Elephas maximus indicus: one gene and its partners. The protein of the gene in region 2 interacts with the protein of the main gene of each other region in a pairwise test. Links are inferred from orthologs where the notes say so. Each region holds a gene or a part of one and is shown on either strand. Other genes may lie near its edges.

What was found.
Region 1: the proteins of TBC1D22B (region 2) and CDR2 interact in binary tests that used the Homo sapiens proteins (3 or more experiments, as listed by UniProt). The link is inferred for Elephas maximus indicus from reciprocal best matches to the Homo sapiens genes TBC1D22B and CDR2.
Region 3: the proteins of TBC1D22B (region 2) and HSD17B14 interact in binary tests that used the Homo sapiens proteins (3 or more experiments, as listed by UniProt). The link is inferred for Elephas maximus indicus from reciprocal best matches to the Homo sapiens genes TBC1D22B and HSD17B14.
Region 4: the proteins of TBC1D22B (region 2) and DEUP1 interact in binary tests that used the Homo sapiens proteins (3 or more experiments, as listed by UniProt). The link is inferred for Elephas maximus indicus from reciprocal best matches to the Homo sapiens genes TBC1D22B and DEUP1.

Annotation. Positions count from the first base shown.
Region 1 is NC_064830.1:82,439,125-82,446,792, forward strand, and holds the start of CDR2 (cerebellar degeneration-related protein 2), read right to left. Parts: upstream 3,015-7,668; 5' UTR 2,741-3,014; coding exon 2,662-2,740; intron 1-2,661.
Region 2 is NC_064819.1:100,950,718-100,958,378, reverse strand, and holds the start of TBC1D22B (TBC1 domain family member 22B), read right to left. Parts: upstream 3,004-7,661; 5' UTR 2,768-3,003; coding exon 2,712-2,767; intron 1-2,711. UniProt on the Homo sapiens protein: May act as a GTPase-activating protein for Rab family protein(s).
Region 3 is NC_064829.1:99,266,629-99,274,504, forward strand, and holds the start of HSD17B14 (17-beta-hydroxysteroid dehydrogenase 14), read right to left. Parts: upstream 3,003-7,876; coding exon 2,915-3,002; intron 2,248-2,914; coding exon 2,209-2,247; intron 1,943-2,208; coding exon 1,860-1,942; intron 825-1,859; coding exon 758-824; intron 1-757. Other genes in the region: PLEKHA4 (pleckstrin homology domain-containing family A member 4), read right to left, coding at 3,752-4,014, 4,373-4,616, 6,086-6,247. UniProt on the Homo sapiens protein: Catalyzes the NAD(+)-dependent oxidation of L-fucose, yielding L-fucono-1,5-lactone, which rapidly converts spontaneously to L-fucone-1,4-lactone. Can also act on D-arabinose and L-galactose, with lower catalytic efficiency. Does not use NADPH.
Region 4 is NC_064825.1:27,651,985-27,659,931, forward strand, and holds the start of DEUP1 (deuterosome assembly protein 1), read right to left. Parts: upstream 3,005-7,947; 5' UTR 2,815-3,004; intron 2,695-2,814; 5' UTR 2,417-2,694; intron 2,383-2,416; exon of another isoform or gene 2,246-2,382; intron 2,216-2,245; exon of another isoform or gene 1,555-2,215; intron 1,075-1,554; 5' UTR 1,031-1,074; coding exon 1,002-1,030; intron 1-1,001. UniProt on the Homo sapiens protein: Key structural component of the deuterosome, a structure that promotes de novo centriole amplification in multiciliated cells.

The DNA of each region.
Region 1 (7,668 bases), on a different chromosome or scaffold from region 2:
CCAAATGCAAACTGGTATTAAGGAAGTTTGCTCTGGGTCCTTTAGGGTTTCCTTGAACTTGAAGATGTGATGACTTCATTTTGATCAAAGAGATTTTAAAGAGAATTCCACATATAGCCCCAATATGTTTCATTTGCTTCTTGGTAGATTGAAATATGAAATATCACGACTGGTTATTCCAAACAATCTCCCATGGGGCGGGAGGGAGTACAGTGGGGACTAAGCAGCTGGGAGAAGAGAACCATGAAAACAGTAATCCTACGTGAGTGCTTTAGTTCAGTTCACCAAATACTGATCGAGCTTCTACTACGTGCCAAGTATTGTGCTAGGTGCTGGGGATTTAAAAAAGGAGCAGACCAGGTCCTTGCCCTCTCTGCCTAACAGATTTGTGTTTCCTAAATACAAGATAGAAAAATATTTACCTCTGACTATAGAAAAAAAAAAACCAAACCCGTTGCAATCAAGTCAATTCCAACTTATAGTGACCCTAAAGGAAAAAGTAGAACTGCCCCATGGGGTTTCCAAGGAACGCCTCGTAGATTCAAACTGCCAACCTTTTGCTCAGCAGCTGTAGCTCTTAACCACAACGCCACCAACTGTTAATTTATGATAGGGGAATGTTGCAACTGCACAGTGGCTGCCTCAATAATCCTGGAGAAAGTATCAAACTAGGCCATCAATCCTTATGGGGAAATGTGAAAACAGGTTTATTAAAATGTAAGGCAAATTTGTCTTGTGGATATAGAGAACATGATGGCAACTACTGCATTGCTAAATACCTTGGACTATACTGTATAAAATGAGCCCTGGTAGTGCAGTGGTTAAGCAGTTGGCTGCTAACCGAAAGGTTCAAACCCACCAGCCGCTCTATGGGGGAGAAAGATGTGACAGTCTGCTTCCCTAAAGGTGACAGCCTTGGAAGCCCTATGGGGCAGTTCCACTCTGTCCTGTAGGGTCGCTATGAGTTGGAGTTGACTCAATGGCAACAGGTTTGGTTATACTGTGTAAGAGTAATGTTGAACTACTCTGGTTTAAGTGATTGTTCACAGCATATTGATTTTAGAAATCACATTCCCAAAGAAGACATGCTTGTTTTATTTTCTTCTTTTAAGTATGAGTCCTTCAAATCTACATTTCTTTTTTTCCCCTCAAGTTCAATGGTTACCATGAAAAGGCATCATGATCATTTAATATTAACTAAATAATTTTCACTGTAGTTTAGAGCTGAAAAAATGGGTTTATACTGAATTGTAGAAACAGAAGATGTCTGGAAAAAAACTCCTGAGGATTATTCAGTATTAAAAAAAAAAGACTTGTTGCTATCGAGTTGATTCCGACTCATAGCAACCCTACAGGGCAGGGTAGAACTGCCCCACTGGGTTTCCAAGGCTGTTAATCTTTACAGAAGCTGACTGCCACCTCTTTCTCCTGCAGAGCCGCTGGTGGATTCCCACCTTTGACCTTCTGGTTAGCAGCCTAAGGTGCTTAACCACTGCACCACTCAGTATAGGCGTTAAGAATGTTTTCTCTGGAATGTGAAATGAAATTCTAGCTCCCCAAATAACAGTGTCTACTTCTACCTCTACCTCCATAGTGTTTTGGGGAGGATTAAGTGAGCATGTATGTTAAGGGTTTGCCAGTGCCCGACACATGTAAGTATTCTCCCAATTGACAGCTCCTTAGTAATTATGCCAAAAAGGGCCACTGGCTCCAAATTGAGGGCTGCTCTAAGGTTGCTCTCCCGAGGCAGCATCAGCAAGAAATCCAGCGCAGGCCAAACAGGAATGTGTTTTTAACTGAAAGCTGAACGGCAAATTGAAAAAGTAGGTGAAGTTAAAAAAAAAAAAGGTGCCTGCCATTTCACATTTCAGTCACTTCATTTGGTATCTGGTGAGCTATAAATAAACATTTAAAAAAAAATTAACACCCAACAGAAAAAAAAAGTAAACTGGGTGGTAAGACAGAGGGATAGGGTTTGGGCAATGACTACGACTTCTGAGCGCATGGGTTCAAAAACACTCCTGCACTACTGTAGGCAAGGCACTTAACTGTTTTGGCCTCTGTTTTCCTCATCTAGAAAATGGGAGTAACAAAAGTTCCTGCCTCGTAGAGTTACAGTGTGAACTAAACGAGAGCATGTCTGCAGAAGGCTTGCCACCGTTCCTGCCACAGGGTGGTCCCACCACTAACTGCAGCAGCTGACACTCAGCACTGGTCACTAGACGCGTGACTATTACCCCTAGACAGGGGCCGCAGGAAGTAAGGAGCCTGGAAAAGGTGGGTGGCACATTTTTCTGTGCCGCTTTCTGTCTCCGAGGACTGCGGGGAGGATTAAACGAATTAATCCATGGAGAGCGCTTTAAACTGCGCATGAGGCATACAGCGCACTCAGCGGCACTATTAGTGATTATTCCTATTATCACTGCGCAAAAAGCCCGGCCGTGGGTCCCTCGCACAGGCGTCCTCCCGCGCGCTGCGCGGGAACCCCCGGACTCCACGCAAGGCGAGCGCGAACCCTGCCGCCACCTAGGCAACTCTGTCACAGCTTCGCAGCCGGGAGAAGCCGCGAGCCTCCCAGCCCTCGGCGCCGCGGGGCGAGCGCCCCCCGCCAGACCACCGCCCGCCCGCGCACCCGCGCACCCGCGGCGACCTCGCCCTCACCTTGCTGCAGGTCCCGATGGTCGTACCACGGCTCATCCTCCTTCAGCTCGAACTCCTCCACCAGGTTCTCCGCCAGCATCTCGGCCGCGTCTTCCGGGGGCAGCGGTCCCCGCCGCCGTCCCGCCTCAGCCGCTGCCCCGGGCCCTCCGCCCTCAGCCAGAGCCGCCCTCCGGCGGGCGGGACCCGCCGCCGCCCCGGCCCCGCCGCGCCGCCGGAACAGAGCCACCCGCCGGCCTGCAGCGTACGCCTCGGATGGGCTTCTCGGCTGGCCTGCACCGCCCCGTGGCCCCAACGGCCGGCGCCCCGGCGCGAGCGGGGGCCCCGGCTGGCGCCCCAGCCGGCTCGCAGCGCCGCAGCCGAGCCCAACGTGGCACTTTGGCAGAACCCTCCCCGACCGGGGCTGCGATTCAAACCCCAGGCGGCGCCTCGGCCAATCGCAAGCTGGCAGCCGGTCGAGCGGCGGCGAGTTAGTCCAATCGGGTCTCACCAATTGCCCGCGGCTCGACCGGTCTCAAGGGCAAACAGCCAATGGCGCCTTCGGAAGAAACAAAGAAGGCGGGAAAAAGAGAAGGGGTGCGGCCGAGATGCCCCGCCCGCCACTCTGCGTAGTGGAGCTTCTGGGAGTAGTTGGGTCCCTGGAGGGGTTGGGGCGGCTGCTCCTGTGTGTGCGTCCGGCCGGCCAGTCAGCCAGTGGACGCGGCGGCCGAAGGGTGCTGGCAGGCTGCTTGGGCATGAGGGCGAGGAGTTTGGGCACTGAGCAGTGGGCGGTGGTCTGGCGCTGTCTTCATGCAGGCGGGAGGCGCGAAGGGGGCCGGGAGCCCCAGGTCCCTGCCTGGCCTGCCCGTTCTTGTCTTTTGTCTCCCAGGTTTGCCCTCGCTGGTGCGGGGAAATTAAGAGTCAATCGGGAATTTGAGGCCGAGGAAGATACCCTCGGAGTGTTAGCTGTTTTTTCCCTTAACGTCTGTGTACTCATCCCCACACCGCTGGGAATTTTACTGGCTCCCTGTAAAGCAGTACGTCCCAGCACCACTTGAGAATCTACTGGGCAAAGAGGTGCCGTTGGAGCTATCTCCTTAGGAAAAAAAAAAAAAAAATTACAGTTTGCATATGAATATAAAAGGTTAGTAGACCACTAGTTAAGCATCTGAGGTCATGACATTGCACCAGGAGGGGAGAGAATGCAGCCCTAGCACTAGTATGCTGGCAGGGCGTGGACGCTGTTCACACAGACATGCTGTAACAAGCAAGTGCTGCACAGGGGTTTTCGGCTGTTAGCATCATCATGTAGAGAAAGAACAGAAGCCCATACATATATAGGGTGACAGACCAGAAAGTCAGTGTTCATCAACCTTAATGTAAAAGTAAAAGGCACAGTTGAAAGAAGGAGGGAAAGACAGCGTCTGACAGAATGGAAGTCAACATACTATCTTATGTTTATGGAACAAAAATTGAGGTTTAAGTGTTTTATTCAAAGATTATCTCTAGAAGAACTTAAACCCAAAAAACCAAGCCCATTGCCGTACGGTTGATTCTGACTCATGGCAATCCCACGTGTTACAGAGAGAAGGGCTTCACAGGATTTTCTTGAGCGCGCTGGTGCTTTGCTAACAGCTTGGCTGCTAACCAAAAGGTTGGTAGTTCGAATCCACCAGTCGCTCCTTGGAAACCCTATGGGGCAGTGATACCCTGTACTACAGGGTCACTGTGCACACTTTACTGTGGTTAAAAAATAAGGGAAATTACGCGGAAGGAGTTAAAGATTCTCAAACTATGTTGTTGTCCTATACAAATGAATAAAGACTTCAGTAATTTCAATGAGGACAAAAACCCACCCTAAATATTCTTGTGGGTATTAAAATTTACTGTGTCTCTCCACCTTCCTATCTTTGCTCACATAGTGTAATCTCACGCTGATGCTATGACTGTCTAAGAGCTTAACGCCAGTGCTAGCTAGTGCATAGGATGTAAGCTATTACCCTCAGGAGAAGTCTTGCCAAGGATAAGAAAACCTCCCCATTGTGAGGTTGTTTATCCTTCTGTCCTTAAGGAAGTCTACTTTATATGTGGAAAGTACAACGGACCTATAGTCAGAAGACCTGGAGTTCTATCCCCAGATGTTCCAGTAGAGAAGTCTTCAGCTTCTTTAGGCTTGCTGGAGGGATTACCTCTCTGCCTTGCTCACAGTTATGAGAATCAGAAACAAATTATGAAAAAGTATTTAATGTCCTTTTTAAATGTAAGATGGTGTCATTGTTACTGATACTGTTAAAATACAGGTACCCTTGGGGACAGTTGTTATTGTTGTTAGGTGCTATTGAGTCTGTTCCGACTCATACCAACTCATGTACAACAGAAGGAAATGCTTCCGGGTACTGTGCCATGCCCACAATTATTGCTAGGTTTGAACCAATTGTTGCAGCCACTGTGTGAATCCACTGTTGAGGGTCTTCCTCTTTTTTGATGATTTTCTACTTTATCAAGCATGATGTCCTTCTTTGGGGACTGTTCCCTCCTAATAACATGTCCAAAGTATGTGAGACAAAGTCTTGCCATTCTCCCTTCTAAGGAGCATTCTGGCTATACTTCTTTCAAGACAGATTTGTTTGTTTTTCTGGCAGTCCATGGTATATTCAATATTCTTCGCCAACACTGCCATTCAAATGCATCAATTCTTCTGCCTTATTCATTGTCCAGCTTTCACATGCGTATCAGGTGATAGAAAATACTATGGCAAGGAGGCAGGGCCAAGATGGCAAAGTAGTCAGACGTCTCCGGGAATCACTCTTACAACAAACACCTAAAAAAACAAGTGCAATGGTTATATATATGACAAGCTAGGAGCCCTGAATGTCAAAGGCAAAGTTAGAAAACGGACTGAGCAGCAGGGGAAGGGAGAGATGGTTCACAAACAGAGAGGAGTTGCCCAACCTGAATCACTGGGAACCCTCAGGCACTATTCCCTGGGGCAACCACAGTGGGGCTGGTGGTAGCGTTCAGGAAGTGGTTTCCTCAGGGAGACACAGTGAGCCACACAGCCTACTCACACATCCAGAACCAGAGAAGAACTGCATTCTTGGCAAAAGCTAAGTACTTGTGTTTATTTTACCGGGCCCCCAGCCCCCAAGCCGGCTTCAGTGGTTGTCAATTTCCCTGGGCCTGAGACAGGTTCTGCTGCATGCTCTGAGCCATTCTCCCAGCCTAGGAGAAGTAATAAATTCACAATTGAGGGAGAAGATAATCTGCCAGCTCCACTAAGCTGGGGAGCTCAGGACAGACGCAGCTCCTATCCAGGCACAAACGGTCTGCAGACTTTGAATACCTTTCATCCCTATGTGGACCTGTGTTGGCCCATTTCAGGAGAATAGGCCCTTGTTGGCAAACTGCAACTATTTCAGCGGTACAGTGGAGCGGTAGATGTTTGAAGTTTGACACCGCTTTGCCTATTAAACAGGGTCCTCACCTACCCACATCAGGGGCTTAAGGACTGGTAGCTCCACCAATTCACTAGCCACCCATGACAGGGGTCCAGGGATAAGTGGTACCTCCCAGTCCTTACAACCAAAAGCACTGGGTGCCCATGGTCTGGCTGCAGAACCCACCCACCAGTGTGCTCCAGGGAACAGGGACACACTGTCCTCACAGATACTCAGGGGAAGGTTGTCAGCCTCCTGCCTTATTCAGAGCATGACCCCCTGCTGTAATCAGATACCTGTACCTACACCAATCACTCTTGCCTCTCTAAGACTTTAGGACAGAGCCTGTACCACACATTTGATGACCAACTACCAGGACACCTGAGCTGAATCCATACAAGAAAAGTGAATGGGCTCCTAGACTCATATACCTGGTAACAGCTCTCTTTCTATTTGTTCATTGCAGCACTGTTTACAATAGCAAAAATATGGACGCAACCAAGGTGCCCATCAACAGATGAGTGGATAAATAATTTACGGTATATTCACACAAAGGAATACTATGCATCAATAAAGAACAATAATGAATCTGTGAAACATTTTACAACATGGAGGAATCTAGAAGGCATTATGCTGAGTGAAATTAGTCAGCTGCAAAAGGACAAATATTGTATGAGACCACTATTATAAGAACTCAAGAAACAGTTTAAACAGAGAAGAAAATATTCTTTGATGGTTACAAGAGTGGGGAGGGAGAGAGATAGAGGGGTATTCACTAATTAGATAGTACTCAAGGACTATTTCAGATGAAGGGGAAGACAACACACGATACAGGAGAGGTCAGCACAATTGGACTAAACAAAAAGCAAAGAAGTTTCCTGAATAAACCAAATGCTTCAATGGCCAGCGTAGCAGGGGTAGGGGTTTGGGGACCCTGGTTTCAGGGAACATTTAAGTCAACTGGCATAATAAAATCTATTAAGAAAACATTCTGCATCCCACTTTGGAAAGCGGAGTCTGGGGTCTTAAACACTAGCAAGTGGCCATCTAAGATGGATCAATTGGTCTCAACCCACCTGGAGCAAAGGAGAATGAAGAACGCCAAGGACACAAGGTAATTACAAGCTCAAGAGACAGAAAGGGCCACATAAATCAGAGACTACATCAGCCTGAGACCAGAAGAACTAGATGGTGCCCCACTACAACCGATGACTGCCCTGACAGGGAACACAACAGAGAATCCCTGAAGCAGCAGGAGAACAGTGGGATGCAGACCTCAAATTCCCATAAAAAGACCAGACTTCATGGTCTGACTGAGACTAGCAGGACCCCGGAGGTCATGGCCCCCAGACCTTCTGTTAGTCCAAGAGAGGAACCATTCCCAAAGCCAATTCTTCAGACAGGGATTGGACTGGACTATAAGATAGAAAATGATACTGGTGAGGAGTGAGCTTCTTGGGTATAGTAGACACATGAGACTATGTTGGCAGTTCCTGTCTGGATGGGAGATGAGAAGGCAGAGGGTGTCAGAAGCTGGCTGAATGGACATGGAAATATAGGGTGGAGAGAAGAAGTGTGCAGTCTCATTAGGGGG
Region 2 (7,661 bases):
AAAACATTATGTTAATAAAAGAAACCGGTCACAAAAGGCCACATATTATATAGATCCCATTTCTATGAAATGTACAGAATAGGCAAATTTATAGAAACAGAAAGTAGATTAGTGGTTACCATGGGCTGGAGGGAGGAGAGAATGGGGACAGACTGCTAACGAGTTTGGGGTTTCTTTTTGGGGTGATGAAAATGTTCGAAGTTAGTGGCGACGGCTGCACAACTCTGAATACACTAAAAAAAGCCCCCCAAAAAACAAAAAAACCCCACTGGATTATACATTTTAAAAGGGTGAATTCTATGAAATGTGAATTTTATCTCAATAAAGCTTTTTTTTTTTTAAGGGTCTTAATTCATTTTGAACTTAGGTTATTTTTATGAAATAAAATTCCTATTTGTTGTCATTAAGGTCTCTGGGTCATGATGCAGGAAACTGAAAGTAAGCTGCCATCACTTTGATTTTGTAACTTTCAATTTGCAAATAAGAATAAACCGGTTCACTTCTAGGTTGCACGGACTACTACCCGGTCATTTGTGCTGTTTCCCACCTAGGAGAAAGTTGGTCTTCACTACGGCCAAAACAGTACAAGTGCAAAAATCTATTCTTGAGAAAATGCCCTAACATTTTTACTTAAGACAAAGCACCTTTCCTAAAAAAGCCTTAATTTTCTCCCATAACCAGGGGCTCTTGAGGCTTCCCTGCTAAAATCACAGTGCTGAACAATGTTTCTCTTCAACATTCGAGGTAGCAAAAACTATCGTGAATTGTGGCAACGTTTTAATGCCTTAAGAATAAACAATGAAGACAAACTAGTATTTACCTAGTGTGAGAAATATTATTTTAAATGTTTACTTGCTCTAGTAACAGTAATATTAATAATTACTATTACTGAACAACTATAATGTGCTAAATAAACATTGATCTAGGTTCTTTACAAATAGACTATTTCATTGAGTCCTCATGATAATCCTTAAGAAGCTATTTTTATCTGAATCTCATAGATAACAGATATCTCAGTAAACTGAGGCCTAGAGAGATTAAATAGATTATTTGTCCTTGGTCCCAAAGGTAAGTAAGAGAGCCCAAACAATAGCCCAGGTCTTTTTGCAGTTAAATGTTCTTTCCTCTATGCCTCCATATTCCTCTCCGAAACAAAAAGGGAAGCCAGAAACTTGAAAAAACTGAAAGAAGACTCTTCTTCCTATCTCACAAAAGTAGTGCTTTCAAAAAGTTGACTGTTCCTAGAGTCCAGTAAAGAAAACATGGAAAACAAAAGATCATCAAAAGTAACCAGTAGTCAGTAGGCACAAAAGAACCATGCCATGTCCCACATCTCATATATTCCTTCCTGATTTAACAGTTTTCCCATGGATTCTAATTATTATTTTAGGATGTCAAAATGTAATGATCTCACTATGGAAAACCCCCAAACAACTGGCAGTTGGCACAGCTGGAGAGCTCACGACTAGACAGGGAAGGAAAAGGGAATCAGTTGGCAGGAAGTGGTGCTAATCTAAAAACATCAAAGGTCTTTAGCATTAACACTGTAATTCCACAGCACTTTAATCTGAACCTATCTTTGCATTCCCTTGTATTATTTTAATACTGTATTACTAAAAAGCTGGCTCCCGCATTATTCTCCATAGGTCTATTAAGATCCTATATAAAATAGGTCCGCTATACATAAAAAAAAAAAAAATTTTTTATATATAGGTACCACTGACCTTCATTTCTCTCTTGCTAAAAGTCACAATTTCAAAGGATTATCCCAGAGGGAAACGGCTAAATCAACTAGGAAAGGTGGCACGTGGGCACAACCAAACATGAATTTCATCACCAGGCAGACGGTGGCTGGCAGAAATCCTAAATGCACAACTAAAACACATTCCTCCTTATACTTTCAGAACTGTGCCCAAAACAAATTGAGACTGTAAACCAACAGCAGGATGATAGATGGGCAATTGCTAAAAGCCTCAACATACACCAAAAAAAAAAAAAAAAGTAGCTTAGAAGGTCTGCTCTTCAACTAAGCAACTGAAATTGACAGGATTTGGTACATTTGTACAAGCAAGCATTACAGCACAGGAGAGGATGAGATCTCTAGGGCTGGCCAAATCCTTGGGAAATTCTAAAGAAATAGTCCCGATTTTGGGGTCACCTTGTAATAATTCCTAATGGGAAAGGGCCAACTCAAGATAAAGTAAGATCTGGTTGGAGAATTTTGCCCCCGAAGGCGGCGCCAACAGAATCTTTGGAGAACCCAAGTGAAAGATTCGTATGTGTCAAACTGAGGGTTATCCCAGGAAAGGGGCCGTCCTCGTGCAAGCAACCACCTGTGTGGAGACCCCCGAGAGGGAGTTTTGTTTAAAGTGAGAAGCAACCCTCCGAGCCCAGAACGGACTCTGGCTACTCACCCAACTCCACTGCCCCTTAGGTCCGGTCTCTGGCCACCTCCTGACTGAGGACAGCCTCTCCAGAGACCTCCGACCCCAGATTCTGCTCTGCTCCCACACACAGCTGTCCCCCAAAGCTTGCCGCCCGTTCCTCTTCCTGACAGCTGCCCTGCAGCCACAGGCGGTCCCCGCTCCCCCACCGGGATTCTCCAAACCAGCCATCCGGAATCTGCGACGCCCCAGGCCCGCGGGATTTAGACCGTAGGATCTGGAGGAGTTTGGTCCAGTCCTCTCTCCCTGTCAGCGTCCTGGGCTCACCTCCCCGGCAGCTTGGCGTTCCTTTTCCAAAACTGCTTGCTGTTCTCGGAGGCCATTGCTCTGGCCCGGGGAAAGCGTTGTAGGCGGGCCGTGGGGGAGCCGGCGAGACGCCCCCAGGACCCCGCAACCGGAGGGCCAACCCAGGCCGCTTCCCTGCCGCGGGTCACCCGCTCCCAGCTCTTGGGGGCGCCATCTTGGAAGTGGGCAACCCCTTACCCAGCGCCGCTGCCATTGGTGGGCTATGCAGGCTGTAAACGGGAGAACCAATCGAAAGCCAAAATCCTGCAAGCTGCTGAAGCCGAACGTCAACGTCAGGGACCGGGCACACAGGTGGACCGGGAAGGCGGAGCTTGGACGAGCACGGAGGCGGAGCTGAAAGTTCCTACCCCTCAGGAGAAGCAGGTAAAGAAAGGGACCTATTGGAAGGAAGAAAGGGTTCCCTTTTCTTTGGGGGATGAAGCCTCTTGGGATCCTGAATCTAATATTTCTTGGAAAGAGAGAGCTTGATAATGTATACATAAATCTGTAACCTGAAAGTAAGGCCCTATGTATTGGTTGCTGCCCGTCTTTAAACACCTGTCAAATTCCCTTCCCCCTTCCTTGTTGGGTTTGGGCTCTGCTTTTTTTTTTTTTTAATCTGTGAAGGAGGATGATACAGATTCTATAGCCTAGAGCTGCTAACTGTCCAACTTGTGAGTAACGGCTGGTTCTGCACGGAGTATCCCCGGCCTCTGTTAATTGAATACTTGTGCTGTGGGTGAAATTCAAATGACCTAATAATCCCTGTTTCAATCAATAACTTACTATAAGAACCCAGATGCTGACAAACAGTGTATGGGACAGACTAGAACTGAGCCATAGGGTTTCTAAGGCTGTAAATCTTTAAGGAAGGACTGCCACATCCTTCTCGTTCAGAGTGGCAGGTGGGTTCCAACAGCTGACCTTTAGGTTAGCAGCCAAGGTCTTAACCACGGCGCCACCAGGGCTCTTCAGTTCAAACTACCAGGTCTTATTTCTTGCTAAAACATAGTAGCTCTCCACGGTGTGAATCACAAAGATTAAGGATGTACCTCTCCCCCTCCCCCACTTAATTTCTCTTATTACCGGTTAAAAACCGTTGTCCATTCCGAATCACAGAGACCCTATAGGACGGAGTGGAACTTCCCCATAAGGTTTCCAAGGAGCGGGTGGTGGATTCAAACTACTCACCGTGTGGTTAGCAGCCAAGCTCTTAACCACTCTGCCACCAGGGTTTCGATTTCACTTACTAATCTAGTGTAAATCTTTCACCCTTAAATTCATTGTCAATCTAATTTTGGCTCAGAATGAGATTTAAAATTAGCTTTTTAAATCCTTTAAATGCCTTTTTGATATTTTGCTCTTTTTAAGTTTCTGTGGTTGTATACCATGGTGATTTACAGAGGGTGGGAGTGAGAAGTAGTTTTTGCCCCAACAAAGATGTTCTTTGCCTCTTTGAAAGTAGAGACTTTTGAGGCAAACCGGTTGTCCCTTCCCCACCCATATTTTACTGCTACTACATGTCCTAGCACATGTTGGAACTTACTTAAAGACCTTCCCCCTCCCCAAAGAAGTACATTACCCCCATTTTCAAGCTTCTTTTGTCTCTTAATTCCAGAATTAAGGGATTCTTGTATGAAAGGAGCTATTTTTACCCTCTCCAAATCTTTGGTCCTTTTACAGACTTTCATCTTATCTTCTCTCAGATAGTCACCTTTATGGGCTTTTAATTCATCACACAAAAGGCCCTCTTTTTTTTTTTTTTTTATCATTTTAGCTGCCTTTCTAGGGCTCTTTTCTTTCTTTGGATGCGGCGAGCAGCACTGCACACTGAGCCCAGAGATGTGTGTCCTGAGCTTTTGTTGATGCTGATGTTTTCCTTTACTCTGGACATCCAGAACTTTTGCTGGTCTTTCAGACTTTAGAAGAGCTGATGTCTTGAAGGAATGATCTACAGAGACTTCTAGATTGCTTTCCTTGGTGGTAACTGACAGTTCAGATTTCATTCTCTTAAAGATATCATCTGCATTGTCTTTCCCTACGTGAGCCCCCTTACACTTGTCCACAGGGTAAGACACCTGCCTCTTTCCAGCCTACTCACATGGCTTTAGAAATGTTCCAGAAGAAGCTCCCTATTGACCTGATATTTCGCTATGTGGAAAGCAGAGTATAATTTGTATACCTAGACATGTCTTAAAGTATTCCTTTTTCTTAATCGTTTATGAAATGTTACATAACACTGATTCTCAGGGGATGCTGTTAACATTGTTGAACCCAGAGAAGCCCTTATTATTTCTATTCATTGTCTTCTACATCTAAGACAGTTTCAAATACAAGACAAGAAAAATCCACCCCAGCATCCTGGTGCATAAATTTTTAAATAGTCTTTGGTAGGAAGGTCAAGAATCCCTGGACCCTTTCTCACCACCACCGCCACGACCACTCAAACCTAAACCAACCACATCTTTGCTTGAACCTTTATAGCAGCTTCCTATTAGGCTGCCTGCTTCTACTGTAGTTTATCCTCCACATAGCACCCAAAGAAAACCTCTTAAAATACGGGTCAGATCATGTCACTCCTCTGCTCAAAACCTAGTAATGGCTCCCATCACCGTTGGTATTAAATCCAAATTCCTTAAATGCACTACATGATGTGGTGCCACCCACCTCCAATCTCATCTCATTCAACTCTCCTCCCTGCTTAATCTGTTCTAATCACACTGGCATTTTTGCTGTCCCTTGAACACTGCCTACTTCAAGGCCTTTGCATTAGCTGTTTCCTCTGCTTGGAATTCTCTTTTCCCAGATATCTGAATGGCTTGGTCCCTCATTCCATTCCTGTGTATTCCCAAATGTCTTCACCTTGGAGAAGACTTCCCTGATCACCCATCTTAAATAGTAGGCTCCACCTACTCAGTTTTTTTTTTTTTTTAAATAGTGCTTTTTTTTTTACTATCTGCCATATCATGTACTTGTTTTTTGTCTGTCTCCACCCACGAAAAGCAAACTCCACCCTCCCCAGGCAGGGACTTGGTTTTGTTCTCTACTATATTCTCATCACATAGATTAGTATTTAGCACATCCAAACCAAACTCATTGCTGTTGAGTAGATTCTGAATTATGGCAACGCCGTGTGCTACAGAGTAGAACTGCTCCACAGGGTTTTCTTGGCTGCAGTCTTTAGGCAAGCAGATTGCCAGGTCTTTCTCCCACAGAACCACCGGGTGGATTCAGACTACCAACCTTTTGGTTAGCAGCCGAGCTCTTGACCATTTATGCTACCAGATCTCCTTGTTTGGCACATAGTGGGTGCTTAATAAATATCTATTGAGCTAGAAAACAGAGAGTGTAAACAATTCATGTCTTCTATGTTGTTCATATACATTTCTGGTTGGGAGTGATTATGAAAACCATGTTTCCTAACTCCTAGTAGGATGTGTCCATTTACCAAAGATTCTATAAGCTCGCCCATACCCTTTTTTGAAGAACAGTCTTACACACTTAGGAAAAAGTGTCATTTTCAAACCCTTTTGCAGCTTCTGAGAAATGTCTCTGTACCTAGAGTGATGAGGGAGAGAGGCCACACACCTAACCAGGAGATTAATCAAATCGACCCTGCCCATCAAAGGGGAGATAACTGTGGCAGCCAGATCACCCTCACATCAAGTTTTGCCTAACTAGAGGTAAAAATCACTAGTTTGAGGTTCCCATGGGGTCCTTAGAGCCCTTTTGATGGAGGTCCATAGTGGCAGGCACAGACTGGTCCACTAGACCAGTGTTTCTCATCTGTTAACGTACATATGCATCACCTAGGGAGCTTGTTAAAAGCCTAGATTCTGATTCAGTAAATTGGGGTGGAGCCTATAATCCTGCATTTCTAACAAGCTCCCAGGTGACACCAATGCTGTACATCTGTTAATAGCACTGTATGGCTCCGTGATGAATTTATCCCAGAGGTTTGATTATTTTGAAGCTATACGTAAAGGACTCTCAATGTTGTCTGCCTGCAGGTTTTCACCTTTCCCCTCCTTAACTTCATCTTCATTTATAAAGGGAGTAAAACAACTTTTGTTGTTGTTAGCTGCCGTAAAATTGGCCCCCAACTCATGGCAACCCCACGCACAATAGGACAAAATGCTGCCTAGTCCTGTGCCGTTCCTATGGTCAGTTGTAGATCAGACCACTGTGATCCGCTGGCTTATTTTCAGAAGTAGATCACCAGGCCTTTCTTACTAGTCTGCCTGAGCCTGGAAGCTCCACTGAAACCTGTTCAGCATCATAGCAACACATAAGCCTCCGCTGACAAAGGGTGCATTGGCCTGGAATTGAATTTGGTCTCCAGCGTGGAAGGCAAGAATTCTATGGGACGAAGTAGAGTTAAGAGAAGGAGATATGCAGCGGCTGAATGTGGACTAAAAAGAGGTGGGGCTATCCCACGCCGCAGGGAAATTTTATGGAAAAAATAAGCCCTGAGTGGGGACACACAGGAAAAAAAGAGAAAGACCTGAAGAATAGTATGGAGGTTGTTTTAGAGCAGAGGCTCCATGGGGAAGATAAAAATAGAGAAAAAAGCTTTTGGACTTACAAAGAGGTCACAGGCAGACTTTAACTTCAAGCAGTGAAGTGGAAGGAAGTAGACACTGATGAGGAGAAGGGGTAAGAATTCAAACAAGAAGCAGCCCTCACAATGCACTGCAAAACGTTAGGCTGCCAGAGGGATGGTGGGGCCAAGCTGGGATTTAAGAACAAGAGAGCTTTTTCAGTACCTAAGCAACCACAGTCATTGTTGTTGTTAGTTGCCATTGAGTGGATCTGACTCATGGTGACCCCATGTGTTACAGAGTAGAACTGCTCTATAGGGTTTTCTTGGCCGTAATCTTTACAGAAGCAGATCACCAGGCCTTTTCTTCCTTGGCATTGCTGGGTGGGTTT
Region 3 (7,876 bases), on a different chromosome or scaffold from region 2:
TCACAGTATGCATCGCCCCAGACATCCTATCATATCCTGGTGTTTTATTGTCTAGTTCCTCACTCTAGAATGTGAATTCCATATAGAGGCAGGAAAGTTTTCTCTGTTTTGTTCACTGCTAAATCCCCAACAGGGGACAGTGGTGATTCAAGGTAGAATTCTCACTTTCTATATGGGAGACGCGGTTAGATTCCCTGCCAATACGTGGGGTCAGTGGAACAAAACGCTGCTCAGCCCTGCACCATCCCCATGATCGGTTGCGGGTTAGACTGTTGTGTCCATAAGATCTTCATTGGCTGATTTTCAGAAACGGAGCAACAGATTTTCCTTCTTAGTCTGGAAGCACTGATGAAACCTGTTCAGCATCATAGGAACGCGCAAGCTTCCACTGACAGGTGGCTGGTCCCTGAGCACGAGGTGCATTTGCTGGGAATCAAACCCAGGTCTCTCGCGTGGAAGACAAGAATTCTACCACTGAACCCCCAATGACATCATTTTAGAGATGTGAAAACTGAGGCACAGAGAGGTGAAGACACCAGCTTGGGGCACACAGCAAGAATGAAACTGAGTCAGGATTAAAGCCCCAGCCTGGGGGATGCCATAGTTGTATTGTCCTGCCCAAAGACATAGAGAGGTATAGAGGAGGATGAGGGAATCGGGGTCAGAAAAAGGGGAAACTGCAGTGCAGGATGAAGGGGAGGGTAAAAGGAGGTGAGCTGGCTTTAGGGCAGGTTGGCCTTGGGGCCTCACAACTCACGGTAGCCAGCATTGTTGACCACACAATCCAGGCGGCCGAAACGGCGGACAGTCTCAGAGATTAGGGCCTGGGGAGAAAGAGACACTCAGTGAGGGAACAGCTTGTGGTACCAGCCCCTAGGGGGGAGGGATCCAAGGATCCTAAGAGCAAGGCAGGGAGGGGAGCTAGAGAAAGGGTGAGACTCTTTCAGGGTAATCAGGCATGTGAGGGTACTTATGGCCACACTGCAGTGTCATTTCAGAAATGCAGAGAGAAGGAATGAGACCTGGTTGGGAGGTAGCCAGATATGCAGAGTGAAGAAGATAGAGACCCAGAAAGAAAGGGGGACAGAGACCCAGAGAGAGATGGATACAGAGACCCATAGAAAAAGGGGTACAGAGAGACTCATAGAGAGGGGGACAGAGACCCAGAGAGGGGGACAGAGGCCCAGAGAGATAAGGAACAGAGACCCAGAGAAAGAGAGGGGGCCAAAAACCCAGACAGAAAGGGAAACGGAGACCCAGAGAGAGAGGGAGACAAGCGGACAGAGACTCAAAGAGAGAGGAGGACAGAGACCCAGAAAGAGGGGGATAAAGACCCATAGAGAAAGGGGTACAGAGACTCATAGAGAGGGGGACAGAGACCCAGAGAGAGAGGGGGACAGAGAACCAGAGACGGGGGACAGAGGCTCAAAGAAAGAGGAAGACAGAGACCCAGAGAGAGGGGGTCAGAGACCCAGAGAGTGAGGGACAGAGACCCAGAGAGATACTGATTAGAGGGAAGGGATAGAATCCAGAGATGGAGGCAGGGACTGTTAAGAAGGAGACCACTTGGAGGAACTCAACCATGTGACAGGTGTGGTAAGAGCCTTTAGGATGTGGCAAAGAAAACAGAATTTACTCAAGGGACATGTGATCTGGCCGGCAGAATCAGAAGAAGTCTCTGGGCAAAATGACATGGTCTGAATCATCTGGGACAGATACAAAGGACAGATAACCAGGAGAGAAGGAAAGGGAAAGGAAGAAGGAACAGCAGGTACAATAGCTCAGAGGAGAAAAAAGGCAGAGACAGAGAAAGATGGTAACATTTGGAGCTGGGGAGTGTGGATAGAAAATGCACTCACCTCCATGTCTTCCTCCTGAGTCACATCACAGCGGAGGAAGACAGTGCCAGGAAGCTCCTGCTCCAGGGCCCGGCCCCCACACTCTGCAGGGAGAGAAGGGCTGTGAGCCTCCACTCCTGGATCTGAGGGAGTAGGGGGCTGGGACTCCCGGTTCTGAAGGAGGGGGCTGGGAGCCTGGAATCCTGGGTCGGAGGGAGGAGGAGGCCAGGGGTCTGGACTCCCACGTCTGAAGAAAGAGAGGGCCAGGACCCAGGATCCTCGGATCTGAAGGAGGAGGAGACTGGGGGCTCAGGCTCCTGGGTCTGAAGGAGGAAAGGTTGGGGGCAAAGACTGAGGGACTCTCACTCACCATCCTTGTCACAGATGACCACGTGGGAACCGCTTTCCACTGAGAAGAGGAAAGGGAACAGGTTACCCCAGCACAGACCTGGTGAAAGCCTCTGCTGCCCCCTTGTGGCCACCAGGAGAGAGGGCCGAGCAGCCCTCCCACCCCTCGTGACACTCAAGTCTCATGATGATCCTCTGGGACAAAGGGCAAAGGCCCCAACATCTGTTTTGCTAGGCTACTCCAGGTGCCTGCTAAGGGCTCCCAGGCCCCCGTCCCCGGCTCCAGAGTCAACCCTAAGCCTGCAAGAGATACCTTCCCCAAGCCACCTGTTTTGCAGCCCTAATACCCGAGATCCCAAGAAGGGAGGAGCTGCCTTTAGACAACAGAAAGATCTCAAAATCTCAAGCCCCAGGCTACCACTGAAAAACCCTACCTTAGCCTGAAAATTAGAGGAGTCCTGCTGGAGTAGTGGTTAAGAGATCGGCGGCTAACCAAAAGGTGTACAGTTTAAATCCACCAGCTGCTCCTTGGAAGCCCTATATGGCAGTTCTACTCTGTCCTACACAGTGGCTATGAGTCGGAATCCACTCGACGGCAGTTAATGGCATGAAAATTGGTTTTTTATAAGAGTCTTGACTTCACTATTGGGGTCCTTTCCTCCCACTCCTATCAGCCCCCGGGCTCCTCTCCCAGAACCCCAAACCCAAGCACGCAGACCCCAACTCACCGAAGGCACGCACGATCCCGGCTCCGATGCCGCGTCCGCCCCCTGTTACAATGACCACCTTCCCAGCGTAGCGCCTTCCCGTGGCCATTCCGCGTCAGCTAGTCTCTTCTGTCTGCCACTCCAGGCCTCTTTCCACCTCCGAAGTCCCCTAAGGCCGTCGGGGTCAAGTCCTAAATAGAGGCTGAATCTTGAAGCCCGGCCCCAGGGGCGGTGCCAGGAAAGCCTCAGACCTGGGAAGTTCAACCCCAGCCCCCTCCACCTTCAGATCAAGAGTCCAGGCCCCCTCCTCCCTCAGACCCAGGAGTCCCAGACCTTGGCCCCCTCCTCCCCCAGACCTAGGAGTCCGGCACCCAGCCCCCTCCACCTTCAGATCAAGAGTCCAGGCCCCCTCCTCCCTCAGACCCAGGAGTCCGAGACCTTGGCCCCCTCCTCCCCCAGACCTAGGAGTCCGGCTCCCAGCCCCCTCCTCCTCTGACCCCGGCTCCTTCCCTCCTCCGATCTAAAAGTCCCGTTCTCTCTGGTTCCTCACACCCTGCAGTGGGAGCCGTCAGTCCCTTCCTCCCTTGGAACCTAGCAATCCAGGACTCCCGCTCTGCTCCTTCAGAAGCCTCAGTGTCACAATTCCAAACAGACCAAAAAAAAAGGGCTATTCACTAAAAGTTCAAAGTTTAATTCAAACTTGGACAGCGTCGGGAAAACAAGTTTTTGGCTGCGGAAACCACGCTCTCCTAGCTACCGGTGGGACTCAGGCCACACCCCCAGGAGCCTTGATTGGCTCTAGATCTCTGGGCGGTATCTCCAGGCCACACCCCGCGCTTCGATTGACAGACGTTTGGGTCAGAAGCTGGACTGCAGCAGAGTGACTCTCAGAGGCCACGCCCCCTCGGCCGAGGTCAGGGCGGGAGGGGCAATACCAGACTGCCACGTGGACTCCCAAGGGGCGGGGCCCACGCTACGCCCGCTACCCGGGCTTGAGGGCATCGCGGTGCGGGAATTAGCCACGGGAGGAGATCTTGGGGGAAAGGTAACCCGGGGTGTGGGGTCTGACGGAGGCGGAGGCGCAGGGGAAAGAGGATCTCCCCGGGCGTCCAAATTTCCACCTGGAGAGGATGAATGAGGCATGAGAATGGCAAACTTCTCGATCGAAGAGTCTAGATCCCCAGGCATTTCCTCTCAGACCCAGGAGTCCGGCCCCTCAGCCCCTCCTCCCTCAGCCCCTGGAGTCCAGGCTCGCAGCCCGCAGCCCTCCTCCCTCAGATCCCCATTCCCCCCAGAGCCTGGATCCCCGGACCCCACTCCCGTTTTGTCTGGGACCTAGAAGTCCCAAGTCCTGCCCCGCCCTTCCCTCACCAAAACAAATGATTCCTGGCGGCCTCCAAGCCCCTGCTCACCAGGACCTAGGCTTCCAGGCCTCCAACTTCCCTAAAACCCAGAAGTGCAAGGCCCCCAAACCCTCACCTGTCATCATTCTGTGCCACTGCGACGCCTCAGTGGCCAGGGCCTGGGAGAGGCTGAGGACCCTCTCCCGGTGACCGTCGGATGTCGGCAAGTAAGGCCTGGTGTTCCTCGGGCTAGACCGAAGGAAAGTTGGGGGGACGGCGGGGGTGGGGAGAGTATGTGCAATTAGCCAGTATAGTGAGGACCGCAGTGCGGCGCGAGTCCTTCTGGGAGTCGTAGTCCCAAACACGTGTCTCTGAAAAAACTAAACATGGCGCTTCCCACATGAGCCCACATGCATTATAGGATTTGTAGTCCCATCTACCAGATTTCCTAGAAGGAGGGGCAGGGTTTGACAGCCACCAAGATGTAATGGAAACTGCAGTTCTCACTGCGGGTCTAGGGCTTTCTGATTTTGGTTCACGCATCCCAGGAACTCATTCGTCTCTAAAATTCTGCAATGTGTAGTTCTGTAGTTGGGTGCTTTTAGTAATAATGTTGCTTCCCTCCCCTTTGGCAAATTAATTTCCCTGCTCCCTTGCCCTGCCCTCCAGTTCCTCACCTACTCCAGGACCCGGAGCTTCTGAGCCATTTCGGGGCTCCCGAGTGTCCCAAGGAGTCTACGGCAGGCTGGGAAGGAATCGGGGCATTAGGATTCTTCACTTGGAAGCCCCATGTCCTCATTTGGAGGGTAAAGAGAAGGGGCTCAGAGAGGAGATAAAATAGCCGAAAGGCACTGACAATGTTAACCTTTACCTGACGCCTGCGCTTCCGGAAGAGTGAAGGTTAAAAAAATCCCTCCACTTTTTTGTGTTCCAGGCAATGATTTGCTGCAAAGAGTGCCCTGCCTCCTGTGACTTAGATAAGACTCTGAATTACCTACTCTGAGCCCAGACACGTACCCTCCAAATTTCCGTCCTTTGTTTCATAAATGATGAGTCAAACTGTTTGTCACCCTGAAACTAGCTAGACACAGAGCTAAACATTTCCTGTTCAGTTGACTGTCCGAGACTCTCCCAGATTGCACAATCTCAACTGTAAAGCCCTCCACCTATAATTTGTCTGTTGTTGTGAGCTGCCATTTAGCCAGCTCGGACTCACAGAATCAGACTGTTGTGATTCATAGGGTTTTCTTTGGCTTATTTTTCAGAAATAAATTGCCAGGCCTTTCTCCCTAGTCTGTGTTAGTCTGGAAGCTCTGCTGAAACTTATTCAGCATCATAGCAACATGTAAACCTCCACTGCACATAAGGTGCATTGACTGGGAATCGAACCTTCCTCTCCCACATGAAAGGTGTGAACTCTACTCTTCATAAAAGTCTGAGATAGAACCACCAGAGTGGGAAAACCACTCTGATACTGGGTTCTGGGGTGCTCTCCCAATGGCCACAGACTGAGAACAATCAATTTCCTTATATTTTTTACTATTTTGCCTTTGACAACACATAGCAGCTGAGAAGAACTGGTCTTGGAATCCAGACCCATGGCCCAAACCTGAAGAGAAAGCGCTGGTGAGGTGGCAGTGTTGTCTCTGCCGCTGCTCCACCCACCACCAGGTGGGCTGGGAAGCAAACTAGCACAGGTGAAAGTTGGGGTGAATCTGGAAACTAAATTATGGGTAAGGAGGTGGTAGAAAGCATCCCAGTTTTACAAAGAGGGAAACTGAGGATCAGGCTAGAAGCAGAGGACCCAGAACCATGCCATCTCCCCACTCTCCCCATCTGTTCTCCTCACCCGTTGCTCTAGGTCAGGCTGGCGTCTGGCTGGGGACAGTGTCCTCCCCAGAGTAAGAAGCCTGGGAGTGGTGGAGTGAGGGAGGGACCGTCCACCCTCCTGGTGTCTGCGCATGCGCTCCAACTGCTCCTGGGCACTCATCCGGGGCCGGGGCAGGGGGGCCTGGGAAGACGAGAAACACAGACTCCAGCCTTGGGCTACCAATTTCTTTTTCCGAACCCCTGGACCTCCAGTCTTGTTCCCTACAGGACCCCAGAGGGATCTTCCTACAGGCAAAACGGTAACTGTCCCTGCTGTGCGTAAACGGAAGCCCAGCCAAACACTCGCACTTCCCTGGCCATATCAAGCCTCCTCGCCTTCTAGCATCAGGACTCTGGGTTGCTTGTGCCAGAAAAACAAAACAAACAAACAAAAAAAACTCTAAACTAGCAGCAACAACAGAAAAGAAGGGATGCGATTTGTTGGCTAACAAAATTATCAAGAGGATAGGTTGGGGGGGGAGCTTAGACATGACATCATACGCTCTCTCTAGCTTAGACATGACATCATACGCTCTCTCTAGCTGTCACTGCCTCTCTTTGCCTCAAAACCAAAGAAAACTAACTACTGTCTCGTAATAGAAAACCCCCAGAGGACAGCTGAGATCTGCAGCTCATCCCGGAACCTTGGGACCAATCACTGCAGGAAAGAGGATGCTTCACTCCAATTGGGGCAATTCTGAGTCACATGACCACAGGCGACACTGACAGCTAGCGGAACCACGTGGCTGGAATAAAGAAGGAGCTATTCCCAAAAAATAAACGGTCGCTATGAGTCGGAATCGACTTGACGGCACTGGGTTTTACTCCCAAAATAATTGTAATTCATAGCTTCCCTGCCAATCCTTTGCCCATCAAGCACGCTGAGAATAAAAAAGTTCCCGTGGTCCTAGGGGAAGATGGAATGTTCTGTATCCATGATAACAAAGAGCCACCAGAAATTATTTTAAATAGGGTTATTGGAGCAATTACAACTGGTTCCCTAACCAGGCTTCTGAGAGCCAACCAACCAGTGACCCCAGTGACCTGAGCGCTTCTGAAAATGAACCAACCAGCAGCAGACACACAGCTTCCAGAGCTTGTTATTGTTGCCTGACATCAGTGGGTTTCAGCTCACAGCGACTCCATTCGACTGAGCAGAACTGCCCCACAGGGTTTCTCAGCTGTAATCTTTATGGGAGTGGATTGCCAGGTCTTTCTCCCACAGAGCCGCTGGGTGGGTTGGAATCCCTAACCTTTCAGTTAGCAGCTGAATGCTTAACCATTGTGTCACCAGGGATCCTTTCCCACAGCTTAAGGACAACCAATTCCTAAGCATACCTGCCTCTGAAAGTCCAGCATTTTCTGAACTCCACACTATATGAGACCAACTCTCTGCTTTGCTCAGGGGAACTGTATCTACCTTGCTTAAGCAAGTAAGAAAATCAGCTTTTTGTTTTCCATACAGAGTGGTGGCCTGTTTATTCATCACCTCTGTGTCTTTGCATAGTCTGTTCCCCGTGCTTGGAACACTGTTTTCTACATGGCCAAACCTTTTTTTTCCAGTTCATCCAGACTCAACTGAACTATCTTTTCAAAGGCTTCTTCGGTGCTCTGAGTCCATTACATGACTTATCCTTATCTGAGACATATGATGTGTTGGTTAATTTTACGTGTCAACGTGGCTAGGATATGGTTCCCAGTCATTTGACCAAACACTCGTCATGATTAATGTGATTAATCAGTTGGCCTTGTGCAGAGCAGATGACCTGCC
Region 4 (7,947 bases), on a different chromosome or scaffold from region 2:
TAGGAGTAAAAAATTGATGCTATTATTATCCAGACTTGGGCAGTTTTCCTTTAGCCAGACGTTAAAGCAGGTCTGAGTAGAAAAGCTAAAAGTTAAAGCAGGTCTGAACAGAAGAGCTAAAAGTGAGACACCTCAAGTGGCTGACTAGAGCGAAGTCAGCCACGGTCAAGATCAGTCACTACAGTAACATCCCCACTCACCTCCACCCCTGGCTCTGGGATCAGCCAGTGGCCAGTTGGCTAATGAAACAATATGAAGAGGAAACTTCGTGGTGCTGGTGGCAGGGAAGTAGGGACAGATATTTACGAAAAGGAATTTGGTTAAATTTCTATGATAGGGGATGCTATACAAATTCTACTCCTTAGCTCTCTATGAAATTTTTGGTTTAATATCCATCCTTGTTTTGTGGAGTTGGATCTATTTTGGGGTTGTGTTGAAGTGCTGAGTTGAGTCTTAAGTGCAAGAGTAGAGGGAAGTGTGGGACACCTGGTGCAGCAAGACGGGAGCAAAATGGCCAGGAGGTGCTGCACTGTAAGAACCGAAGAGTGCACGAGGCCAGCAGTGTCAGTGCCCTGGGCGTAGGCACCCATCACCCAAGACACCAGACAAAGTCGCTAAAAGTTGGAAAGCTGTGATTTTCAAGCGCAGATCCACAGATCACACTATAGATTCTTAATTATAATCACTTGAAATTTCCCCCCACCCTCACCAAAAGTAATTTCCACATCCTTCTATTAATGCTGGAAACCCTGGTGGCATAGTGGTTAAGTCCTACTGCTGCTAACCAAAAGGTCTGCAGTTCGAATCCGCCAGGTGCTCCTTGGAAACTCTATGGGGCAGTTCTACCCTGTCCTATAGGGTCGCTATGAGTCGGAATCTACTCAACGGCCGTAGGATAGTAGGTAGGCTATTAAAGCTAAATTTTAAAACTCATGTATCACCAGGGAGTTTTTGGCATTGTTAAGTGTCAGCTTATTAAACAGAAGTTTCTTAGCACTTACCCCATTGTATTTTGGGCCTGGTTCTCCATGTTGAGAAGCTGCTGAATCTGGTTTATGGTTCTTGATTTTTAATCTGTTAGGAGAAAAAATTATCTAGAGTCCTAAAACGCTTACATTAATTAACCCACAAAATATGAACATTTTGCTATCAGCAAACCATTTGAGGTTAGTTTTTCTGAGCGGAGTAGCTCACGATTCTACAAAATGTTGAAATTTGGGCTTTTTTTGGCAGGGTGTCCCATGCAGCTATGATATTGATTAATAATAACTTGAAATATGTGGTACTGACTGAAATGAGCGCTCATTCACTATTTATTGAACAATAGCTCAGCACCAGGTACTATGCTCAGTACATGAGGATGAGTAAAATAGAATCATTACTCAAGAGGAGCTCCAGTTGGATATTCACAAACTTTTCTTTCATGTGGATCCCCTAAATGGTTTACCTTTGAGCAAATTCTTTCTTTAGTCCTTTCTGAGTTTTGCTAGAATGAATATACTACGAAATTTAGGACAAAAAAGGTTAAGAATTGCCTAAAAATATAAATCTTACCATTCCTCAATGGTTCCATGGGCACTGGCACATCCTCTTGACAAAATAGAGATATCAGTACTTGCCTAAAGCAAAAGATTTTTCCCAGCAACAAAGTTTTAGTGAAAAATAATCTACGAGGATAAATGGACAAAGTATTGAAAAAGGACTTCAACTCCTCCGCATCACTGAATAAAAGTCAGTCAAACAGCAGTCGAAGTAGTAGGATGAGGAAGAAGGCTTCGGGCTCATTCCACTATCAAATCAAAGGAAATTAAGAGAAGTCCTGGAATTGTGTGTGGAGGGGTGGGGCAAGGGGTAGGGGCAGTGAATGGAAAGCTTGACCAGGATGAAGGGATGAATGATTTTGTAGGCTCTCAAATCCCTCAGTTTAATGTCAGGGAAACTGAGGCACAGACATACTAAGTGACTTGTCCATGGCCACACAACCAGAACCTAGGCCTTCTAACTCAGGGAGAATCTCTGCTCTGGATTCTGCAAAGGCGGCTCTTATATCCCTCGGTCCTACCACCCGCTGCGCTGCCCAGCCTTGACCCCGACCCCCGCCCCAACCCGCGCACAGCTCAGGCCCAGTCTCCCCGGAGCAGCCGGCCTGTTGGGGTCCCCCCCCCGGCAAGGGTCACCCGCGCCTGACCCGGGGGACGAGGGTCAGATCGCGAAGCGAGACCGGGGAGGCCTGGGGCCGGGTTACCTGCGCTGCGCGGCGCCCGCCGGAGAGGTCTGAGGCTCCGGGAGCAGGAACGCCTGGGCCTCCCTCCCGCCCCGCCTCGAGGGCCTCGCCACCCGCCGCCGCGCTCCCGCCGTCCGGGCTCGCCCGCCGCGCGGCCGCCTAGGCCGTTGCGGCCTCTCCCGCCCGGCTTACCGCGGTCCGCCGCTTGGCTCCTGGTTGCCATGGGGACGCGGCCCGAACTCGCGGCCGTCGGGGTGGGGGTGGGGGTGAGGGTGGCAGGGAGTGCCCGGCGGAGGCGCGGGCGGATCGGCGGGAGGCGGTGGCCGCGGGGCGTCTCGGGCCGCGCGAAACTTCAGCCCAGGCGAGTGCGACCTCGCTGCCCCGCTGCTGTGTGGCTAGTGTCAGCTCGCTAGACGCAGAGCTCCCTGAGAGCACCTTCTGAGTCATTTTTTCTTTGTGGCTTCCAGTGCCTAAAGCAGGGACCGGCAATAAACAAGGGCTCAGAAAGAATGAAATAACTAAGGAACAAAGAGTAAACAGCTGGGGGTTCCGCACTCAAGTTCCTTAAATTTCCCTGACCGTTCTCTCACCTGTCCCAAACTGAAACGTGATCAAGGACAGAGTGAACAGAGCTGGCTTTTTCTCTTTTCACCAAAATGTCTTTCAGCCCGGAAGGGCTGGATTTCCTTAACTGTGTTGCTTAGTCCACAGTACTCTGGTCGCGGTAACTGCAGCATTTGTACCTGTCTTTTTTTTTTCCCACTGGGTCCTTAGAACAACTCTGCGTGTTGGCGAAGCAAATAGTATTGTCTCCCATTCAAGGAGAAGGAAGTAACTGCTAAGTGGGGGGACCTGGGGTGGAACCCAGGATGACTGATTCCAGATTCTTTCCTTTTCCACCAAATTCCAAGAGTGATGATACAAGTGCTGTCTCACTGTCTTGATTTCACATTTCACAGCGGAAATGACAGGAAATAATGTCATAGCCTGTAGCTATAACATTATCTCTCAAAGCTAACTTTGAGAGATTTTTTTAAAATAATTTATTTTTTGTTGTTGAAAATATAAACAGCATTTAACAATTTCTACAGGTACAATTCGATGACATTGATTACATTCTTCAGGTTGTTGTCACCCTCCTTTTCCAAATTGTCCCTCCCCCATTAACATAAACTCACTGCCCCCTAAGCTTCCTATCTAACCTTTACTGTTGTTTTTGTCAATTCGATCCATTTAGATAGTTCTTTAAAAGAGCACAATACTCAAGGCAGACATTCTTTACTAATTAAGCTAAACTGTTGTTTGGCTTAAAGAAGACTTAAGCGCTTGGATTTTCTGTTTGAAAAATATTCTTGTATCTATTTGAGGAACAGACTTCCTTTCTAATACATCTAGCTGATTAACTTCTAGTCCTTAAAATCTTTTATTTGCACTCTACTTTCATAACATTAACATTAATTTGCTATTTAATATGGTTATCAATTTAATATCCTCCCACATTCCTCCATCCAGGTTCCATTTCAATTTCATAAAACCATTTGCTGCTTCTTAACAAATTGAGTCTCATAGATGAACTGTATAAAGTAACTCAGGTTATTAGTTTTAAATAAGTGTTTCATAGCACATATGTTATGATTGAATGAAGAGAGTGATCATTTCATCTTAACATTATTCTGAAAATCCTAGTCATGTTCTTTTATTCTTTTGTAAACTAAATGGATCGATGTATTTTTCTTGACCCGAGGAAGAAAAAATGGAACTTGGCAAGGGCTGTTAATGAAGTTTCAGGATGCCCAAGGTCACTCGTGCTTGTGTAGCTCTTTACTATTGGTCAGTATTTTCACATTCATTATTTCCTCAGGTGCTCAAAAGTACTCATGAAGCAAATGTAACAGGTGTTATTAGGAAACCAAGGCTTAGCAAGAATAAATGATTTGTCCAAGATGATATATCTACTTCAAGTGCAGCTAAGATACGAACCCAGGTCATATAACACCAAATCTACCAAAATCAAACCCACCGCTGTTGAGTGGATTCTGACTGATAGCAACCCTATAGGACAGAGTAGAACTATCGCATAGGGTCTCCAAGTCTGTAATCTTTATGGAAACAGACTGTTACATCTTCTCCCATGGAGCGGCTGGCGAGTTTGAACCACCAGCCTTTCAGTTAGCAGTCAAGCACTTAACCACTGTATCGCCAGGGCTCCTTACTCCAAATCTAGTGCTCTTCAAACTCTGTCTAAAAAATAAGTTTGACAATAAAAGGAACTATGAAAAGGAAATCAGGAGAGCAATACCATTTATAATAGCTCCTAAAAAAGTAAAATACTTAGGAATAAATCTAAGCAGGGACATAAAAGACCTATACAAAGAAAACTACAAAATGCTGCAAGAAACCAAAAGAGACCTACATAAATGGAAAAATATACCATGCTCCTGGATAGGTAGACTGTGAAAACTGTCAGTTCTATACAAAGCAATCTACAAATACAATGTAATTTCGACATAAATACCAACAGTATTCTTTAACAAGATGGAAAAACTAATCATCAACTTTATATGGAAATGGATGAGGCCCCGGATAAGTAAAGCACTACTGAAGAAGAAGAATAAAGTAGAAGGACTTGCACTACCTGACCTCAGAACATACTATACAGCTACGGTAGTCAAAACAGCCTGGTACTGGTACAATGACAGACACATTGACCAATGGGACAGAACTGAGAACCCAGATGAAAACCCATCCACCTACAGTCTCCTGATCTTTGACAAAGGCCCAACATCCATTAAATGGGGGAAAAGACAGTCTTTCTAACAAATGGTGCTGGCAAACTGGGTGTCCATCTGCAAAAAATGAAACAGGATTCATGCCTCTCACCACACAAAAAAACTAATTCAAAATGGATCAAAGAACTAAGTATAAAACTCGAAACTATAAAGATCATAGAAGGAAAAATAGGGCAAATTCTAGAGGTCCTAATACATGACATAAACCATAACTAAGAACACACAAACACCAGAAGGTAAGCTAGATAACTGGGATCTTCTAAAAATTAAACACTTATGCTCATCAAAAGACTTCACCAAAAGAGTATAATGAGAACCTACAGATTGGGAAAAGAAATTTGGCTACGACAAATTCAACAACGGTCTAATCTCTAAAATCTCTAGGAAAATCCAACATCTCTACAACAAAAAGACACCTAATCCAGTTAAAAAATGGGTAAAGGATCTGAACAAACCACCAAAGAAGACATTCAGGCAGCTAACAGACACATGAGGAAATGCTCAAGATCACTAGCCATTAGATAAATGCAAATCAAAACCACAATGAGATACCATTTCGCCCCAACATTACTGGCACAAATCCAAAAAATAAAAAATAACAATTGTTGGAGAGGCTGCGGGGAAATTGGAACTCTTATGCACTGCTGATGGGAATGCAAAATGCTGCAACCATTTTGGAAAATGATACGGTGCTTTCTTAAAAAGCTAGAAATAGAAATACCATATGATTCAGCAACCCCTCTCCTAAAAATATAGCCTAGAGAAATAAGAGCCGTCACATGAATAGACATATGCACACCCATGTTCACTGCAGGATTATTCACAATACCAAAAAGGTGGAAACAACCCAAGTGCCCATCAATAGATGAATGGATAAACAAACTCTAGTACATACACACAACGGAATACTATACAACATGAAGAACAATGATGAATCTGTGAAATATCTCATGACATGGATGAATCTGGAGTGAAATAAGTCAACCACAAAAGGACAAATATTATACGAGACCACTACTATAAAAACTCATGAAAAGGTTTACACAGAGAAAGAAACACTTTTTGATGGTTATCGCGGGGTGGGGGGAAGGGAAAAACACTAAATAAACTATATATAAGTGGTAATTTTGGTGAAGGGTAAGAGAGTACACAATACTGGGGAAGCCAGCACAACTTGACAAAGGCAAGGTTTTTGATGCTTCATAGACATATCCAAACTCCCTGAGGGACCAAATTACTGGTCTGAGGGCCGGGGACTGTGGTCTCGGGGGACATCTAGCTCAATTGGCATAACATAGTTTATAAAGAAAATGTTCTACATCCTACTCTGGTGAGTAGCGTTTGATGTCTTAAAAGCTTGTGAGCAGCCATCCAAGACACTCCACTGGTCCCACTCCATTTGGAGCAGGGGAGAATGAAGAAAACCAAGGACCACAGCTACCATAGCTTCCTCCAGGTTGCGTCCAGCAAAACTAGATGATGCCTGGCTAGTGAGCTTGACTGCTTTGACAGGGATCACAATAGAGAGTCCTGGACAGAGCTGGAGAAAAATGTAGAACAAAATTCTAACTCACCAAAAAAAAAAAAAAAAAGAAGACCAGACTTATTGGTCTGACAGAGACTGGAGAAACCCTGAGAGTATGGCCCCTGGACACCGTTATAGCTCAGTAATGAAGTCATTCCTGAGGTTCACCCTTTAGCTAAAGATTAGACAGACCCATAAAATAAAATGAGACTAACTGGGCACACCAACTCAAGGGCAAGGACGAGAAGGCAGGAGTGGACAGAAAAGCTGGCAATGGGGAACCCAAAGTCGAGAAGGGGAGAGTGTTAACATGTCATAGGGTTGGTAACCAAGGTCACAAAATAATATGTGTAATATTGTTTAAATGAGAAACTAATTAATCTAAAGCACAATTTAAAAAAAGTTAAAACAAGTAAGGTTGATATGTAAGGATGGTTCAACTTTGGAAAATCAGTCAACGCAATCCACCACATAAATAAAACAAAGAATAGGAGTCACATGATTATCTCAATTGATGCAGAAAAGGCATTTGATAAAGTCCAACACCCATTCATGATAAAAACTCTCAACAATATAGGAATAGAAGGGAAATTTCCCAACATAACTAAGGGAATATATACAAGACCAACAGCCAACATTATTCTCAAGGGAGAAACACTGACAGCATTTCACTTGAGAAAGGGAATAAGAATGGATGCTCTTTATCACCACTTGTATTCAATACTATACTGTAAGTCCTAGCTAGAGCAATAAGGCAATAAAGGGAAATAAAGGATATACAAATTGATGAGGAAGAGGTAAAATTATCCCTATTCACAGGTGATAGGATCATATACATAGAAAATCCCAGAGACTGCACAAGAAAGCTACTGGAACTAATCCAAAGATTCAGGCAAGTGGCATGGAACAAAATAAACAAATAAAAGTCAGTTGGAGACAGAAGGGGCCACATAAACCAGGGACTACATCAGCCTGAGACCAGAAGAGCTAGATAGTGCCTGGCTAAAACCGATGACTGCCCTGACAGGGAATACAACAGAGAATCCTTGAGGGAGCAGGAGAGCAGTGGGATGTAGACCTCGAACTCTCATAAAAAGACCAGACCTAATGGTCTGACTGAGACTAGAAGGACCCCAGAGGTCATGGTCCCCAGACTTTCTGTTAGCCCAAGACAGGAACCATTCCCAAAGCCAACTTCAGAAAGGGATTGGACTGGACTATGGGATAGAAAACGATACTGGTGAGGAGTGAGCTTCCTGGATCAAGTAGACACATGAGACCATGTGGGCAGTTCCTGTTTGGAGGGGAGATGAGAGGGCAGAGGGGATCAGAAGCTGGCCAAATGGACATGAAAATAGAAAGTAGAGGGAAGGAGTGTGCTGTCTCATTAGGGAGAGAGTAACTAAGAG